2 linked regions of the Rattus norvegicus genome follow. The main gene of each other region encodes a partner of the protein of the gene in region 2 in a complex. Links are inferred from orthologs where the notes say so. Each region holds a gene or a part of one and is shown on either strand. Other genes may lie near its edges.

The links.
Region 1: Dis3l (region 2) and Exosc10 share a complex: the UniProt entries of both Homo sapiens proteins name them as parts of the RNA exosome complex. The link is inferred for Rattus norvegicus from reciprocal best matches to the Homo sapiens genes DIS3L and EXOSC10.

The regions. Positions count from the first base shown.
Region 1 is NC_086023.1:164,276,359-164,282,711, forward strand, and holds the start of Exosc10 (exosome complex component 10), read left to right. Parts: upstream 1-2,081; 5' UTR 2,082-2,120; coding exon 2,121-2,231; intron 2,232-3,226; coding exon 3,227-3,363; intron 3,364-4,439; coding exon 4,440-4,563; intron 4,564-5,558; coding exon 5,559-5,663; intron 5,664-5,784; coding exon 5,785-5,950; intron 5,951-6,091; coding exon 6,092-6,206; intron 6,207-6,353. Other genes in the region: serine/threonine-protein kinase mTOR, read left to right, coding at 224-239. UniProt on the Homo sapiens protein: Catalytic component of the RNA exosome complex which has 3'->5' exoribonuclease activity and participates in a multitude of cellular RNA processing and degradation events.
Region 2 is NC_086026.1:73,731,778-73,737,915, reverse strand, and holds the start of Dis3l (DIS3-like exonuclease 1), read left to right. Parts: upstream 1-2,388; 5' UTR 2,389-2,503; coding exon 2,504-2,642; intron 2,643-3,150; exon of another isoform or gene 3,151-3,342; intron 3,343-4,056; coding exon 4,057-4,210; intron 4,211-6,138. UniProt on the Homo sapiens protein: Catalytic component of the RNA exosome complex which has 3'->5' exoribonuclease activity and participates in a multitude of cellular RNA processing and degradation events.

The DNA of each region.
Region 1 (6,353 bases), on a different chromosome or scaffold from region 2:
GTCAAAGAAATGCTAGAGAGAAAAAGTGAAGAAAAAGATTGATAATCCTGGAGACTCTAGGCAGGCATTTGAGAGGGGCAGAGGAATCTCTGGGACCTCAGGGCCATTAGCCCTCTACTAGAGGTGTTGACTGAGTCCCATAGGGCTCAAACCTGCTCTCTGTGCTTGGGTAAAGCTTGGAAGAGCTCTGACTGACCATGCCTTTTTCTGCCCACCTTCCTAGGTGTCCTTTCTGGTAACCAAGGCCTGGCAAAGAAAATCATCTCCTCCGATGCTTTTGTACCTTGGTCTGTGCTTCCAGTGGACTGAAACCATGGTCATAAAGTTGGACTTTGTTAATATTTTGAAATGTATATGAAAAGAACTACTGTATATTCAAAGTTGGCTTATGCCAACCTCCTAGCTGCTGTTGAAAAGACACTGTCAGAAACACAAGGCTTGATTCAGTTCCCAGGACAGTGAAACACAGTAATCCTACAGAAACCAAGCCTTTGATTTTGGGAGAACAGAAGATGAGTAACTGACTAAGAAATACGGGTTTTGACTTAACTTACAGAAGAACTCATCATACGCATTTGCTGACCGAATAATCTAGTTGATCCTCTCAACCAGGGGCTTCAACAGCAAGGACACAGATGTCAGCACTCCACCATCCTGTTACCTCACCCGTCCCTGGATGCAGTGGCAACATCTGCAGGATGGGCCACCGTGTGTGTAAGAAGATCTGTCTTCCACCTGATCCCATGATGCTGAACCTCACAGAGCCGGCCTTCCAGGAAGGACGTTTGCTCAGACGCCTGGCCACCGAGGATGAGCAGGTGTGCCAGGATCTCAGTGCAGGGTCCACGCTGGCCCTGCTGCTGTGTTCAGTGAGGGATGGATATGTTGTGTTTGCAGCAGGGACTCAGAACACAAATGCTTTTGTGGAAGTGCTGATCTCAGAGGGACACTAGCGCAGGTTGTGAATTAAGAGCAAAGTAAATATCCAACTAAACACAAAGTATAAGTGAAGCCACATCTAGACACCATTGTATCTGAGTAATTTTTGTGCCAATAAATGACATCAGAATTTTAAAAGTATTTATGTGTATGGCTTTCTGTTCATTATTTTGCAAATTCTCTTATTGGGCTTTGGCTTAAACTCAGTGGTAAGCCACTGACTAATGGGGACAGGAACCTACACCATTACATTCCATCACTAGACAGGCCAAGACAGAAACAGGCAAACAAGGATCTCTTGAGATTCTGGACTACACAGAAAAACCCTGTCCTTTTTGTTGTTGTTGGTGGTGGTGGTGGGTTTTTTTTACACTCCAGATTTTATTTCCCTCCCAGTCCACCCTCCGACTGTTCCATATCCCAAACCTACTTCCACCCAATCCCCCGACCACGAGGCTGTCCCCACCCCACCCAACCTCTAAACTCCCTGGGGCCTCCAGTCTCTTGAAGGTTAGCTGTATCTTCTTTTGAACCCAGACCCAGCAGGTCTCTGCTGTATATGTGCTGGGATCCTCAAAAAACAGCAAGTGTTCTTTTTTTTTTTTTTTTATTCATTTATTATATATAAGTATACTGTAGCTGTCTTCAGATACACCAGAAGAGAGCATCGGATCTCTTTACAGATGGTTGTGAGCCACCATGTGGTTGCTAGGAATTGAACTCAGGACCTCTGGAAGAGTAGTCGGGTGCTCTTAACCACTGAGCCATCTCTCCAGCCCAGCAAGTGTTCTTAACTGCTTCAAAGCCTCTCTTCTCTCCCTTTCCCAATATTTTAAACAAACTGGGAAAAATCCAATCCTTGAGTAAACGGTTTTGCACGCCTTTAACCCCAGCACTTGGGAGGCTGGATGCAGGCGGGTCCGGGGTGAAGATCTAGCTTTAAATGTAATTTCAATTGTATCCTCCCTCCAGTCCTCACCCTAGCCCACAGGTTTGTTAGGATACAACGTAAAATTAAAGAAAAGCCTAAATCTCCCCATCGTTGGCCAAGTCGTGTAACAAGTTACACTACTTACTTGGTGTGGGGCGGGGTAGTGGTATTGAGCCGCGCGCATGCGCGTTACGCTCTTCTCCGGTCCGCCGGAACAATCTCGCGAGAAGAGCCGCCCTAGGACGGAAAAATGGCGCCTCCCAGTCCCCGGGAGCATCAGTCCGCGCCAGCGACCGGTGCGACCAAGCCTGACGCGGAGATGGTACTGCCTGGCTTCCCGGATGCAGACAGCTTCGTAAAGGTCAGTTCGCGGGCTCTGGGGCACCGCTGTTTTAGCCGGAAGCGGGTCTGGGGCTGCGGGCTTCTGGCGCCTGTCACGGCGGCCTGACGGCGCGCACGGAGAACGGCAGCGAAGGGCTCCGCGCTTCCGGTGTGAGCGCGAGCGGCTTCGCGTAGAAAGCTGTGTCCGCGCCTTCGGAAGGGCGTCCGTCATCCACGTGGCGCACCCTGCGCTACCTCTCCTGAGGAGCCCAACAGCTGAGCGACTCTCCCGCCCATTGCTCACCCCGCTGATGCACAAACGTCTATTGCCCCAATCTCTTGGGTTGAATGTCACAGCGACCATCGAGCCCCTCTCTAAATGCCAAAGCGCACTCACCAGTACCTCTTGAGAAGGAAGATAGAGTTTTTATTTAAATTCTTTGTTCACAAAATTCACGATGCTGTCATGAGACGTTAACACCTCCCTTACGCTGGGATCCCCAACCATGAGATTATTTTCATTGATGGCCTTGCTGTGGCAGTCTATGTAGACATTAACTTTAAAATAAATCGCGATCCTCTTGGTTAAAATATATTTTTTCTTTGCTAATTCGTAACTAATTTTGCTACCGTTATGAATTGTAATGTAAACAGGCAGGGTATCTGAAATGGGACCCAAGGGTTGAGAGCCACTGCCTTAAAATAAGCACCCACTCTTTATCAATGACAGCCACTTGTGATTGTTTCCCATTCATTACCTGCCTCACAACAGTCTACCTAAACCACTGGTTATAAAATGGTCACCTGAGTCGGGTGGTGGTACACAAATCCAGCCCTTGGGAGGCAGAGGCAGGTGGATCTCTGTATGTTTGAGCCCAGCCTAACCCAGGTCCTGTACAAGAAGTGCTAAGCACTCTTAACGCTGATCGGTCTCTCCAGCTCCCTGGGATATATAGCTTTAAAATCTTGTGGGTTTTTTATTCCTGAGTAAACAGGAATCCGTGTGTAAGATGCATCTTTTTCTCTGATTTTCAGTTTGCACTTGGGTCGGTAGTGGCCGTTACCAAGGCATCTGGGGGCCTGCCACAGGTCGGTGACGAGTATGACTTTTACCGAAGTTTTCCTGCCTTCCAGGCATTTTGTGAGACACAAGGAGACAGGTTGCTTCAGTGGTGAGTTTATTACGTTGATTGAAAGAAATAAAAGATTGTCCTGAGAGTGGCATACCTCAGTTGTCGGGAGATAATGAACGTGATTGGGTTCCTGAGTCTGAACTCCAGTACTAGCCATCACCAAAGAAACGCTGCCTAAATGCCATTAACCAGAGGGACATAGGATAATTGTGTGGTCTGTGGCTGTTGGGGAAGAATAGCGGCTCAGTGTGGAGCCCGGACTAGCCTGGAACTTGCTATGTAGACCAAGCTAGCCTTGAAATCTTAGAGATCAACCTTCCTCTGAACTCACTTCCCCTGAGTGCTAAAATGAAAATGTCAGCCATCACAGCCAGCATGATCTATGATCTTTAAAAATAGGGGGTTGGGGATTTAGCTCAGTGGCAGAGCGCTTGCCTAGCAAGCACAAGGCCCTGGGTTCGGTTCCCAGCTCCGAAAAAAAGAAAAGAAAAAAAAGAAAAATAAGAGGGCCGACAAGATGATTCCGTGGGTAAAAGGCATCTAATGCCAAGCCTGACAGCCTGAGTTCAACCCCTGAGACTCTCGGATGGAGAAAGAGCTCACTCCTGCAGACTATCCTCTGGCCTTAACACATGGGCGGGGGAACTCACACACACACAATATCTGTTTATGTCAAAAGTCTTTTGCTGCGTGTGGTGGCTCATACCTTTAATCCCAGCCTTAGGGAGACAGAGGCAGGTAGATCTCTGAGTTAAGGCTGGTGTGGTCTGTATAGTGAGTAGAGCAGCCAAGGCTACACATTTCTCATCTGATAATTGTTGGGGGAGATCACCGTGAAGTTATTTTGCTGAGAATAGGCCTAACTCACCAAATTACACAGGTGTCTTCAAACTCACTGTGGCCTGAGCCTTCTAGGAAGCCGGTGTCACAAGCCTACACCATCAGGCCTGGCTTGGGGTCCTGTGTTTAAAGGTTGTTGTGAAGATGTACATTGGGTTAATTTTATCCAGGGTGCCGGGAACCCTGTGATCCAAGCCATTTGAGGAGTTTTCTCAGACTGTAGGTTGGTAGAACAAAGGTGCACGTGCTGACCTTGGTTTTCCTCGATTCCTTAGCATGAGTCGGGTGATGCAGTACCATGGGTGTCGCAGCAACATCAAAGACCGAAGCAAAGTCACTGAGTTGGAGGACAAGTTCGATTTACTCGTCGACACCAACGACGTGATATTGGAGAGAGTGGTGAGTGCCTCCCATCCACAGAAGTAAGCTCTCAGATAGAAGGCTCAGATATCAGTGGAAGGAGAAACCCCAGCTCTATGGAAAGTGAAATAAATGTAGCCAGTCCTAATGGCCGTACCTGTGCCTCGCACTAGGGAAGCAAAAGCAGGCGGGTCTCTGAGTTCCAGGCCAGCCTGTTCTACACAGCAAGACCTCTCCAATAGATGGATGGGTTGGTGGATAGATAGATAGATAGATAGATAGATAGATAGATAGATAGATGGATGGAATTGTATGTATAGGCACGTGCCATGAATGCCGGTGTCCGTGGAGACCAGTGGTCTTGGAGCCCACTGGAGCTTGGGTAGAACACCAGTCCTCTGCAAGAGCCATGGTGCTCTCTCCAGCCCCCACCCATGCTCTTCAAAAATAGTTATGTTTTTGGCTCTAGAAGATGGCTCAGCAGTTAAGAGCACTTTCTGCTCTTCTAGAGGACCCAGGTTCCATTCCCAGCACCCATGTGGCAGCTCACAACCATCTGTAAGTCCTCCATGGGATCTAACATCCTCACACAGACATACATGCAAGCAAAGCACCAATACACACAGAATAAGATAGATAAATCACTTACAAAAATGTCAAGTTTAAACCGGCCATTAAAATTCTGAATGCGTACAGTATATAAATAATATTTTGATACATTTATCTATTCTTTTTAATTTACTCATTTATATTTTATGTGCATTGGTGTTTTGCCTGCGTGTGCGTGTGTCTGAGGGTGTCTCCTAGAACTGGAATTACAGACAGTTGTGAGCCACCATGTGGATGCTGGGAATTGAACTCAGGACCTCTGGAAGAGCAGCCAGTGCTCTTAACCACTGAGCCATCTCTCCAGCCCTTACCTCCTCTTTCATGTGTGTATAAACCACATAATTCTGTGAATGCATTTCTTAAAAATGTCAGGTAGGTAAGCCTGTCAAAGTCACATCCTAACCCAGTGCCTTGTCTCCTCATAGGGTATATTACTGGATGAAGCTTCAGGTGTCAACAAGCATCAGCAGCCTGTCCTCCCTGCGGGGCTGCAGGTCCCCAAAACGATAGTGTCGAGCTGGAACCGGAAGGTGAGCCCCGCTCACAAGCACACGCACACCAATGTTCTTGTCTCCAGAAGATGAGCTGGAGTCTCGTTCCCTACTTCATCCAGTGGCTTTGTCTCAGTTGGTTCCTACGTGTTGTCCACAGGCAGGAGAATATGGCAAAAAAGCAAAGGCGGAGACTTTCCGACTGCTACATGCAAAAAACATCCTCCGGCCTCAGCTCAGGTTTCGAGAGAAGATCGACAATTCCAACACGCCATTTCTCCCAAAGATCTTTGTTAAACCCAATGCTCGGAAGCCACTCCCTCAGGGTAAGTGGTGCCTTTGACGTGCTTGAGTCTTCACTCCCGCATTTCTGTCCTCAGAGGGGCGCAACACCTCCTCCTCTTCCTAAGCTGAAAAGTGTATGTGCCTCATGTGTGATGCTGTGTTTGTCACTGCCTGGTCTCCAGCTCTCTCAAAAGAAAGGCGGGAACGCCCGCAGGATCGTCCAGAGGACCTGGATGTCCCTCCAGCGCTGGCAGATTTCATCCATCAGCAGAGAGCCCAGCAGGTGGAGCAGGATGTGTAAGTGCATGGCTCTGCTCTTTCCGAGGCTGGCCCTTCTTTTCTTCAGAGCTGGGGACCGAACCCAGGGCCGTGCGCTTGCTAGGCAAGCTCTACCGCTGAGCCAAATCCCCAACCCCCTTTTTTTAAAGATTTATTTATTCATTT
Region 2 (6,138 bases):
TAGTGAAGAAACTGATTGTTCTTTGTTTTTTGTTTTTCAAGACAGTTCCACTGTGTAGTCCTGGCTGTTCTGGAACTCATTCTCTAAACCAAGCTAACCTTGAACTCAAGATCTGCCTACCTCAGCCTCCCAAGTGCTGGGATTAAAGGCATATGCCATCACCACCTGCCCAAAACTCATATTTAAGTTTCATATTTCTGTAACATAAACTAGTTTATTCTGCCTGATAGGCACTCTTCTGGTCCAGAGGTCTCAGATGGCCAATGAGACAAACCACCGAAACAACCAAGCAAAAGGCTCTGGTCCATTACACATCATTTCTAAGAACTAATCATGTTTCTCAACATAATGTATAAAGCCAGGCCTGGGCACATGGAATCCCAGCAGTTGAGAGATGGAGGGAGGAGGAGTAAGGAAAGAGATCGAGGCTATTGGCTACGTATCATGACCCTGTCTCCAAAAGACTTGAGAGAGAAAAGAGAGGGTGTAAGGAAGAGAGCTGTGGATATGGCTAAGGATATGGCTCAGTACTTACCCTGGAATGCACAAAGCCCTGAGTTCCATCCCCAGGTACCTGCAATCCCAAGACCTAGCTACAGGCAGAAGGATCAGAAGTTTAACTACATGGCAAATTTGAACCCAACCTGGGTAGCTGACACCATAAGTAATTAATTTGAGGGAGTGGGTGGGGGGAAAAAGCAATTAATTTGTATGTTATTGCCCCAACACAAACCAAGGAGATGTGCAATGGACATTGGACTACTGTAATTATTCTCTGAGATAGCATCTCATGCATCCAGGCTGGTCTCCAATTTACTGTATAGCTAAGAACAGCCTCGAACTTCTGATCATCTTGTTCCTACATCCCCAAGTGATGGGATTATAGGCCTGTGTGCCTCCTGGGGGTAGGGCGGTGCTCAGCAAAGAACCTCGTGCTTGCTAGGCAAGCCCTCTGCCAACTAAGCTCCAGCCTTGTTTTAAACACTGATAAAAATCAACTCTGCATAAAACCCTAGGTATGCTGTTCCTTAAAGGGTGGTTCATTTGCGGACAATTTCGAGCTACAAAGTGCTGAAGAGAGATATTAAAGGCAGATTAGTACCTAATCGAAGTCATTCCTCCAACCCCATAGCACCAGTGGCTTTAAAAAGATAGCAAGGGAACTGGGGAGGGACTGGTGGACAGTTATCTAAAGCATTTTTTTATGTAGAGAACAATTTTGGCTACTCAGTGTCGTCTGGTCTCTCTGGAACTGACTCCTGTGTTAGACAGGAAGGGCCTCTTTCTTTGTGGAGAACGTTAGGAACCCTCCTTGCACTGTCGCCTGTGCGCCAGTTCTACATTATTTTCCCATTTGTACAAGTTTACCTTGAGTTTCACCGAGTGATTTGACACAAAGGTACAAGGAGGAGGGGACCGTGACTCTTTATGCATTCCCTGAGGGTGAAATGAGAGGCTGGTCCTGGTTTATTTCAGCTGTACTGGAAGAGCCATGTGTTTCCAGTCAACTGGGTCAGACACATTAACCAAAGGTTGCCAAGCAGTAAATTCCTTAGGTGCAGGCCCTGTGTTTTACTCACCATCGAATAGATGATGCTTAACCCGCTTTGAAGTTGAGCAGTTTCTAGCTTGAACATTGGTTCTGAAACTTAATAACTAGGTATCCTTGGACACTTAAGCTCCTTTAATGCAGCCTCACATACGGTGAAATGAGGATTAAAAATACACGCCCACTCCTTTGATTTAAGGAAGCTAAATGAGACTCTCCTGTATGAAGTTGCTAATGTAGCTCCAGTGGGCCCAGTGCTTGGAGAATCGAGGCTGTCTGGTCTCCCAAGATACTGTCCTTTTTGTCAAACACTACAAGCACAGTACTTAGTGATCATATCAATAGCAGTTTTAAGAATTCCTTTGCCAGAGGCTGCCAGCGCTATAAAAGTTATACAGTGTTTACCCCAAAGGACTGGTTTTCATTTTATCTGTAGTGTTTGAATATTTACATGCATTAAAATTTAAAATAAGCATATTTTGAAGGGGAAAACCAGGTTTGGCTAGCAGGGTTACCAGTATTTTTTTGCTGAGCCTTTCAATTCTTTCAGATATTGCAAAAATAAGGATGAAAAAACTCAATAGTTATTACCTCTGTTAATATGGCAAGCCCTTCCCACACCGGCCTGTGGGTAGAAAGAAAGTAAAAATAATCTTTTCACAAGGGAACTTTAGACTAGCTGCCACAGACTACCGTCTTACCCGCTGATTCTTTGGGTAAACAGTTTATCTACACTTTTCCCGCCCCGGGGCAACTAAGGCAAAGAGAGGAGTCAAAGGTGCAGGCAGGGCTGGGCCAGGCGTTTCCTCAGTGTAGGCTAGGTCGTTCCCGGTAGCGGGAACCCAAAAGCCGCCGCCTGCCCGGCCAGGCCGGAGGGGCGGGCCCCAGGCCTCGGCCTCGCCTCCACCTGCCGCCCGCCGCTTCCCGGCCACTGTGCCGGGCGACGCCGCCAGCATGCTGCAGAAGCGGGAGAAGGTGCTGCTGCTGAGGACCTTCCAGGGCCGGACGCTGAGGATCGTGCGCGAACACTATCTGCGGCCCAGCGTACCTTGCAACAGCCCCCTGTGCCCGCAACCTGCCACCTGCCGCAACGGTCAGGGCCGGGATGGACCGGGAAGGCCGGGGCGGGAAGAGCAAGGGAGGCCGGGGTCGGAGGAGAGAGGGAGGGTCGGAGGAGAGAGGGAGGCCCGGATCCGAGAGGGAGGCCGGCGCCAGAGGAGCGAGGGAGGGAGGCTGGGACCGGAGAGGGAAGCTGGGGCTCGAAGAGCGAGGGAAGCCGGGACCAAAGGAACAAGGGAGGCTGGGGCCTGACGTAGCGAGGGCGGCTGGGCGCGAGTAAAGGGAGCTGAGGCCTGAGGAGCGAGGGTGGCCGGGCCCTAGTGAAGGAAGCCGGACCCAACGAGACCGGAGAGCCGCAGCTTGTGGAGCAAGGGCGGCTTTGGGCTGGCGTCAAGGGCGGAGCCAGACCCTCGCGGACCGTAGGCAGCCGAAGCGAGCAAAGCAGTCTGGGCAGCCCAGGAGACGCCCTGGAGCGTCCGCAGTGCGTCCGGTCGTCCTTCCTAGTGATCGGAAGCAGACAGCACCGGCCTGCAGCTTCAGGGGCGCTCCTCTCAGGACCAGCCCACTGTAATGGCCGGGTCAAATGGGAGGCCCGAGAGCCTGCAGGCACCGGATGCTTCGGTTTTTCCTGGGGACCTGAGGGCGTAGGCACCTTCTTTCTCCCAAAAGTAGCTACTGGCATTGCTCCTGAGCTCACTGCTGGACTTTTGGCATTGCCTGCTCTGCTCCTACCAGTACGCAGACTCTCCAGCATGACAGCCTCTTTATCTTAGGACTAGGGACTTAGGCTGGGGAATGCTGGGAGCTAGACTTTCCCCGATTTTCAGGCAGCATGTTGCTGTTTGTTACCCCCGGGGAGATGAACCTGAGGAGGTCTTTTCAGAATACATAATCGAGGTCGCAGCTTGACCAAGCAGGTGTCAGTTGAGTGGAAACCCTGCCGCTGCCCATGGATTGTATAGCACAGCCTTTCTAGTATGTTTCTCTTTCAATCCTAGAACAGTGTAGCCATGTTCAGAAGCTTCAAACAGAACATCCTTGGAATTTTTAGGTACATACAAGTGATTAACACACACACACACACACACACACACACACACACACACACACACACACACATGTGCACTCTTGCTGTGACGGCTTAGTAGAAATTTAGCTTCTTCCAAGGATGTACTTGTTTTTAAAATATCAGTCATCCTCTTAAAGAAGTACTGGCAACAGCATAAACCATGTTGGGCTTGTATTTAATCACAGCTGAGGGGAGGGGGAAGCAATGAATCTGAACTTTGAGCCTCTACCAAACTAGATTTGTCTTGTCTTTTAAAAACTTCAAGGTGAAATTAAGATGAGAAGTTATTTTGCACACCGGGAGCACTGCGACATTGAAATAGTCATAAACCAGGTTTGAAAATGTTACCTAATCGCTTCCACTCTGAATTATGTTTCAGATGGGAAGCTCTTGTCTGCTGAAGTGACTCATTATGTGATCCCAGACTGGAAAGTTGTCCAGGATTACCTTGAGGTCCTGGAGTTCCCTGAGTTGAAGGGAATTATTTTCATGCAAACGGCTTGTCAAGCTGTGCAGCATCAGAGAGGCCGGAGGTATTTGTTTTGCATTATTTATTTATTTATTTATAGTACAGGTTCCCCAGCCCCCTTTAGAAAAGGTCCTTTGTTAGAGGGAAAGAGGAGGAATTCATTATTTTGACAGAAAGGATTTTTGAAACTAATTTGGTATTCTCTTTGCTGGTGAGGAATGCAGTAACATTTTATATGTGTGCTTCAACACCTGGCCAAAAGATCTGGCTGTAGATCAATAAACTGCAGTATCCCCAGGATGGACATAGTTAGGATTCTATGGTGAATTGGCATCTGGTTTACATTTTTACGGGTGGCACAATCTTGTCTTCTTTTTAATTTTGCCAATGATGTATATTATTTAATATTATTCATAGGTAGATTGTTTCAGGAGCATTCCTTTCTTTGGAAAAGAATACATTTAAGTCTTATCTTCCTCTATTGTAGATGCAAACTGTACTTCCAGTGATTTATTCAACGAAATTAAAAAATAGCTCATTCTGATTTTTAGATTAGTCCTGTAACTATCAGCCACAGTAATTGTATTTGCGGAACAAAACATTTCTAATTGGACCAGTTTAAAATACTTGCCTTGTACCTAAGTGAAAGAGGTATTACCCCTTTTTGTGAAAATGCCCTAAAATACAGTTTGGCTTCATTTAATATTTGGAAACTTTTACGATCTGAACTTTTATGATCCGACTCTGAGAATAGCACGTTAGAATTATATTCCCAAACCCTCAGCACCCCAAGTTATTTAACAAGCAGAAACTGTATTTATTCTGTTTTTTAAGATGTTTTGGTTTCTTCAGACTTTGGTAGTAAAAGATAAAAGTTTTCTTTATTTGTGTATGAAAATGATAAATTGTCCTTATGCTCAGTTCAGAAAAAATATACATTAGCTAGAATGTACATGGTTTTTTTTTTCAAATTGAATATTTTAAAATAAGCTTGAAGTTGGTTTTATTTAGACACAGACATATAGACGTTTACACACAGCCAGGTTTAAACACTGCTGCAGGTGTCATATTTCAATTTCTTTTGCTAAAATCAATTTGTTGTTACCGTTCGGCTCACTCATGCACCGCAATCCGCTTCAACCTCTGTTTTCTAAAACGTTTTTAATATTAGGATTGTTTTGAAAACCAATTCCTGGGACAACCGAAAGCAAAGAGTTGGAATTTAAATGTCCTTTCTCCTGAATGTTTTAGTAGTTAAGTTGATGAAGAGCTCCCAGCATTGGGTTTTGTTTTGCTTTACCCTGTGTCTTAGGATTCTATAGGAGAAAGCAAAGGGTGGAAAACCGGCAAGTAGGCCCCACCCTCCTGATATTTCATTAAAAGGAGCACTTGGTCAGCTTGCACTGTCAGTGGCTTTAAGGTAAACCAAGTGCCAGGATATAGGCTTACTCAAATGGCAACAGTACCAGCCCTGTTTCTAGCAGGAAATGGGTCTCCTTATACCCAAGAGCCAGGCATAATTGTAATCCCAACATTGTTAAGTAGAAGGTTCAGTTCTATGTTAGTCTCTGTTGTTCGGAAAGCTTAAAGCCAGTACAGACTAAATGAGACTCTGTCTGCACAAACAAACACGCATAATTGTATTGGTGTTTAGCTATAAATCTATTTATAGCCTTTTTAAGTACTTAATAAGCTTTAAAAGCAAATTAAACCCCTAAATTTAATAAACAGCATAGTATTGTAAAATTGTAAATGTATTACCATAGTCCCTTGGTTTATTAAAGGAATTGGTTCTGGGACCCTAAGACTACCACAGTCTGCAACTGTTCAGGTTACAGACATAAAATGGCCATGGGAGAGCTGAAGAGGTGGTCCTACAGTTCAGACCATTTGTCGCTCTTGCAGAGGACCCAGGTCTGATCCCCTCAACAACAAGGTGGTTCACAGCCATCTAAAACTCCAGTTCCAGGGGATCCAATGCCCTCCCTCTTC